Linked DNA regions of Mus musculus: region 1 is reported to be linked to region 2. Evidence: microRNA targets listed by miRTarBase, many of them from high-throughput screens and not tested one by one. Region 2 holds a microRNA gene; the other region holds the end of a gene's coding sequence.
Evidence for each region. Region 2 holds the annotated microRNA mmu-miR-34a-3p (AAUCAGCAAGUAUACUGCCCU, at 1,949-1,969, opposite strand). A microRNA usually pairs through its seed, bases 2 to 8, with sites in the 3' UTR of a target mRNA and lowers its output. Matches are read on the target gene's strand: a 7mer-m8 pairs with bases 2 to 8, a 7mer-A1 pairs with bases 2 to 7 and ends in A, and an 8mer does both.

Region 1 (3,251 bases), not on the chromosome of region 2:
GAGACAATGTGCTGAGGTGGGTGCTCATCTGAGAAACTGGCCCTTGAAGACAGGCACGAACTAAAGGAGAGGTCTTGCTGGATAGTTAACAAGAAGCTGGCATCTGAGTTCAGCCTGACCTTTGACCTTTGGAGCTCCTGAAGTAGCAGGACCTTATTTTTATGCTCATAGTAAAAACAAGTGGAAAATGTGTAACAGTGAGATTGTAGGCAGGGATGACCAAGAAATTCCAGCATGCTAAGGCATGCTAAGTCATCCGGCATGGGTCTTGTCAAGCTTAAGAGGGCTCACTGAAAGCCCAGACTACAGCCACCAAGTCCCGTCTCCCGCTCCTGTACATGGAAAAGTCCACAAGCATGGGTGAAGGATGGGGCGCTACCCACCCAGGACGTGACGCTACCAACACACAGCTACACATCAGACTCCCAGATCTCCAGAGCCTGTCACAGAGGTTCTTCAGTAAAATGTCACCTGGCCAGGGCTGCTCCTTTTAGCCTCAATGGGGCCACATGACCTTGGGTCAGCACACTGCAAACCAGTCTGGAGAAATACCAAGGCAGCGGCAAACCAGAAGGATGGGGCTCTGGGGCTGGGGACACTCGTCAGGGAAGGTGAGGCTGAGAGTCTGCCTTTAATAAAGTGGAAACAAGCTAAGTTTATTAGTGCTAAGTTTAGCACTAATAAAATTGAAGGCTATTATATATTTAAATCTCCCTTAATAGATTTCCATATAACTTTGATAAACACAACACCAACACACACACACACACACACACACACACACACACACAGCATGCTGTTTAACCAGGAACATCCAACTGAAACAGACAAAAGCTGATAGGACATTTTCGCAGGTTTGGTGAACAGGGAAGTGGTCTCTACTTACAATGACAAATTCAACATTCTCATGTCAGAAACCACAACCACAGTCTTCCTCACTGGAGATAAACCTCAGAATGTACCTACATCTCTAAAGTCAATCGCCATGACCCAACAGGTCCGGGAGTAACCGGCTGGCAAGGTCATGCTACTCAGCTTTCACTATGGTCTTCTCCTGGCTCCAAGCTACTAAGGACTACAGCGAGGTCTGGGCGTCCACCAGGAGCCCTCTTGGGCCTGGGAACATTGAGATGCTTAGCCCAGGGATGCTCTGACACTCCCCTGGACAGCTACCAGGAGGGCTTCAGTGAGCTCAGGCGCTCGCTTGCTCTAGCAGACCCTTATGATGCCTGCACCAGGGAGGAGGGCTAACAAGGCTGGGTGGGGCTTAGGGCTCTGGGTTCCTTTTCTCTTTTGTGCAGCTTGAAGGAGGAGGTAAGCAGCTTGCTGAGATTGAAATTAAAAACAGAAGAAAATGGGAGCTGAGGGTGCAGAGCCTTTCAACCCCGGGTATGTGAAGCCACACTGAGACAAACCAGCTGGCATAAACAGCCAGCCTCCCCTCCCCAAGGCAGGAGAAGAGTTCAGGCTGGCTCAGTCCACAGTGCCTTTTAAAAAACCATTTACAGAAAATAGGAATCAAGCCACTTAAGACGTGTAGTCTCTGGGACAAACTGTGTGACCTGGGCAAAGTATTTAACCTCTGTGGTTCCCGGCTTGCTCATCTGTCAGTCAGTACACTCACTCAACTGCCCTTGGTACGTCCGACCTGGTGAAGTTTTACAAAACTCTTTCACACTCTTCTGTGCATCTGACTCTTACAGTAGCTCTATGGACTGGTAGGACCACTAATCCCACTGTATAAACAGAGAGAGAGAAAGAGAGACAGACAGACAGACAGACACTCAGGAGCTGACTGGACCTTCAGGGCCTCACTATGTAGCCTCGCCACCTGCAAGTGCTGGGACTATAGGTGTGTCCCAACTGCCCAAGTCCATTGCTTTTGACATCACAGCACCAGCTGGTTCTAAACTCTTCCCACAATCTCTCGTGTCCTTTCTGCAAAGGGTCTCTGCTATCAACGAGGTAGTGATCTAAGAACATGCCATTAACACTTTCCTAGCGCAAAACACTACTTTCCTAGGGGGTGAAGAACCATCACACAAGAGATTAAACCAGCGCTAGATGTGAGCCTTTTTAAGAAACTCCTCGGGCTGGTGTGTTTCCCTGTGACCTTTGACCTTCCTCCCCTTTCCTTCTCTTATCCACCCACACACAGAGGGTAGGAGAACCTGCCTCATAGTGACAACAGAGGACATAAAGAGTGAGCTTTTTGAATATTTGGGTGTTCTTTTTATTACTGACAGCTGTGAGCCCTGTCTTGTTTACAGGTAAAACTCTGATGAACCGGCTGGGAGTCCTGACTGCTGCATGCGCTGTCAGGATAGGAGTCACCCCCCCCATTCCCCCGCCCCCCCCCCGCCCCGCCCACCGGCGATGCTTTCCCATTGCATTGTGGCGCACTAACCTGCTTTGCCCATTTCCCCTTTCCTCAGTGATCCTTCAGCCTGGTACCCAGCTTTGAGATGAGGCCTGCTTAGCACCAGTGAAGTTCCCCACATTCAAACCAACAACGTTCTGTGTGGAGATGAGGGAGTCAAAGTTAAAATCCAACCCGTCAGCATCCATGAGTTCACTACGGATGATGGACTCCATGTCACATTCCAAGCTCCCATTGAACATGTCCAGGTCCAAGTCACTGGGGAACTTATCGTGGCCCATGACGGGAAGGTTTGCACTAGCTGAATACAGTGAGGAGCCTGAGAGAGAGTCCGAGAGGGTTTGCATAGACTGGCTGGCGGGAGACTGCTGCTGGTGTTTGGCTGAGCCAAGGCTGCTGGAGTCACTCAAGCCCATGTTGCTGACAGAATTTGACAAGGCACGGCTGCCACCAAGAGCGCCCTGGGTTTGGTGCTGGTGGTGGAGCAAGTTCTGATTGACCAAACTCCCCTGGGTAGGCTGGGCAGCAAAGGACATCATTGGATCGTTGCGAAGCATCACGTTCCGGCGGGCATTCTGGGCGGACACGGCGGTGCTAGCCTGAGACATCAAGGGGTCCGACTGGGTCATCATGACGTCGCTGTGGCTGAGTGAGTCTGAAGCAAGCAGGTCTTGGAGTGTCTGGTTGCCGTAGTGTGACACGGAAGAGAAGGTGGCTGGTCTGTTCTCCTGGATAGTCTGCATGGGTGACTGACGCAAGGAGTTCAGAGACGAAGGTCCAAACACGGTACTGTTGAAGGAGCCGGTTGGGGAGCCCAGGCCGGAGCTCTTGGCGGTATATGGGAAGCTGGAGCCCCGCTGCATAAGCCCGC
Region 2 (3,251 bases):
TTGACTACTGTAGGAAAACTGAAAAAATGTGAAGCCTGCGCTTGCAGGCTCTCTCGTGTGTGCGGCTTCGGGCAATCCTCCTGGAGGACTGTGAACCCTCCTGTCAGTGCTCAGCATTCCTGGCATGTCAGCTGCCCTGACTCAGCCCACGCCTGGCTCCCCAGGGCTGTGGAGCTAACGGAGTGTGTGGTTGAGTGGGCACAGGACATGGTCCACCCACCAGGCCCCATTACAAAGGGGCCCTCTGGAAAGGCAGCCCTCGGTGCAGAGTCTACTTAGGGAGAGAGCAATTCCTGCGGGAAGGGGCTTGCTGAAGAATGTGGCTGCACACACACACACACCAACATTAGGAGAAAGGGAGGGGGACGGGTGTGGTGACATGAGCCTGCCACCCCAGTACTTGGAAGGCTGAGACAGGAGGATTGCTTCAAGTGTGAGGCCAGCCTGGTCTGCATGACAAGCTGCAGGCTAACCCCGGGCCACACAGTGAGACCCCGTCTCTAGAAACCAGAGAGCCATCGGGATGGTTCAGTGGGTAAAGATGCTTGTCACACAAGCCTAACCAGCCTGCAGACCTGGTATGAAACCCACATAAAGGTGAAAGGAGAAAACGTACTTCATATAGCTGACCTCTGACCTCCACACGTGAGCCATGGCACTTGGAGCACCTCCCCAATGCACACATAAGAAGAAATAAAATAACTGGAAAAAGCCGGGCGTGGTGGCGCACGCCTTTAATCCCAGCACTCGGGAGGCAGAGGCAGGCAGATTTCTGAGTTCGAGGCCAGCCTGGTATACAAAGTGAGCTCCAGGACAGCCAGGGCTATACAGAGAAACCCTGTCTCGAAAAAAAAAAAAAAAAAAAAAAAACCCAAAAAATAACTGGAAAAAAAAACCCAGAAAGAGAAAGAAGAGAGGGGTATCTATCTTCAGTCTAAGGTTCGACCTCAAATGGTAGAGGTTACCCCCTCAAAGCCATCAGCATCCTGGGCCGGGCTTTGACTGAAAAGGGAAACTTGTACCAATTTTTGTTGCTGGTGGTGGTGGTTGTTTTTGTGTTTTTGAGGTTTTCACATTGTATCTCAGGATGGCCCCAAACTCATTATGTAGTCAGGCTACTAAACCAGTTGCCCTCTTGAATTCTGGACGTAAGCCATCAACTCATCCAGGTTTTCTGAGATGCACTTGAAACCCGCTTCATGAGAGGAGGCACTGTGGGTTCAACAGCAAGGCAGCTCTGAGCCCTGGGCCCATTCCCTGGGGCACCAGCCGGAGACTTCTGCACTCCACCCCTGCTATGTCCTGTGTCCTCGGCTACCTTTCTGTTTGAACCCGTGTGTCTGTCTGTCTGTAAGAAGCAGATCACAGCAGACCCTTGATGTATACCCTGGATCTCCAACAGCCCAAACGCAGAAAGCCTTCACTCAACAGCAGCGGTCTGCCTGGGCTTACCCAGACTACAGAGCTCAGCCCCTCTCTGAGGCCACGTGCGCTTCAGGCAGAGTTGCATGGAGCAGGTGGAAGGGGGCAGCTGGACATTCAGGTGAGGGTCTTGTGACCGTCCCCAGCCCTCCACAAGAAGTGTAAACAGCCAGCAAGCCCAGCAGGAAGAGTCCTTTTGCAAGAGGGCACAGCGGAATGCCCCAAGATGGTGGCTGTTTGGCTAGGAGGATCAACACACATCATACAGTCTCCTTCCATGCTGTAATTAGTACCCCGACATGCAAACTTCTCTTAGCCAGAAGTGCTCACACTCCAGACCCAGTGCCTCCCCCTGACACTCAGCCCCCGTAAACATGCTCCCCGTGGGGTGCTAACACCAGCCTCCCCAGCATCCCATACCCACCAGTATGGTCGAGCAGCTCCGCAAGTCCAGCGCCTCTCAGGGGTGTGGGCGTTGCTGACCTCTGACCTTTTCCTTCTCGGCCCAACAATGTGCAGCACTTCTAGGGCAGTATACTTGCTGATTGCTTCCTTAGCTAATACTCACAACAACCAGCTAAGACACTGCCAAAGAATTACTCACAGCTGGCCAGCCCAGGCTGAGGCGCCCGCAGTCACAGGAAGATGGAGAGGCTGCGGGAGAAAGATGTGTAGTGGACCCTACCGAGGTATGACACACTCCTCCAGCACTTGGAAGCCAGCACGCTAGCACAGGAGGGAAGCAGCAGGGTACAGCAGTGCCTCCCCATCCAGCACCCACGAAGGGCGCACTAGTCGGGATTCAGCTGGAGGGACAGCGCCACCAGGAGGGCTTCAGGAATGCCTTCCGGCTTCCACAAGGAGGCTGAGTCAGGAGGTTCCTTTGAGTTTAGGAGTTCAAGACCAGTCTGGGCAATATGGTGAGACTGAAGTAAAAACTGGAAGCTGAAGAGATGGCTCAGCGGTTAAGAGCACTGTCTGCTCTTGCAGAGGACCCAGGTTCTATTCTGAGCACCTGCAAGGTGACTCACAACCACCTGTAACTCCAGTTACAGGGACTCTGACACCCTCATCTGGCCTCCGGGGGTACCAGGCACACACACAGTGTATACACATCAGGCAAAACACGTATACACATTCAAACAAGCAAATCTTTACAAATAAAACTAAGCCAGTGAGATAGGACAGCGGGCAAAGGCAAAGGCACTTGCTACCAAGCAAGGGGACCTGAGTTAGATCCCAGAACACACACACACACACACACACACACACACACACACACACACACACGCTATGACATGCACCCCACCCCCAGTAATCCAACAAAGAGATGTGAAACAACAGCGACCTTCCCTCAACCAAACCCCGTTAACCAGTGAGACTGGTCAGGCCTGCAGAGCTGAGACTGGGCTCAGCAGGAAGTATAGTCCCTCAACAGGATGGCTGAAGCCCACCTACTGTCTGAGAGTAGAGGGTACTCTTCACTTCAGGGCAGTGACTCCGGAAGCTGGAGTCCTTCACACCAACACCTAGGCCAGTGTTTGGGTGGATGCCTGTGGACCCCAGGCCTCCAGTTACACAGAAAACTGACCACTATTCCCTGCTGGCTGCCTTAATATGCAGAGACTGGGCTGGGGCCGTTCACTTGTTCAGTCGATGGAGCCCTTGCTTGACAGGTGCCGGACGTTGGGCTTCATCCCCAGCACCGTAAACAAAAAGGATCCAGATTAGTGCATCTCTCAGAGAAGCTGACTTTTGAGGTAGCCGGCGGTTAACGGAGACCCACAAGTCGTCTGTGTACAAGACTGTGGGTTGTCCAACTCTAAATA

Region 1: miRTarBase lists Foxo3 as a target of mmu-miR-34a-3p. The part of its 3' UTR that is shown has no 7-base or 8-base seed match.

Annotation. Positions count from the first base shown.
Region 1 is chr10:42,194,059-42,197,309 of GRCm38, forward strand. Foxo3 (forkhead box O3) reads right to left here. Exons shown (of 4, transcript NM_001376967.1): 3 at 2,408-3,251. The coding sequence ends at 2,443. Among named protein-coding and RNA genes, the nearest start is that of Gm38485, 79 kb to the right of the region's middle.
Region 2 is chr4:150,067,235-150,070,485 of GRCm38, reverse strand. Mir34a (microRNA 34a) reads right to left here and starts at 2,032; the gene lies at 1,931-2,032.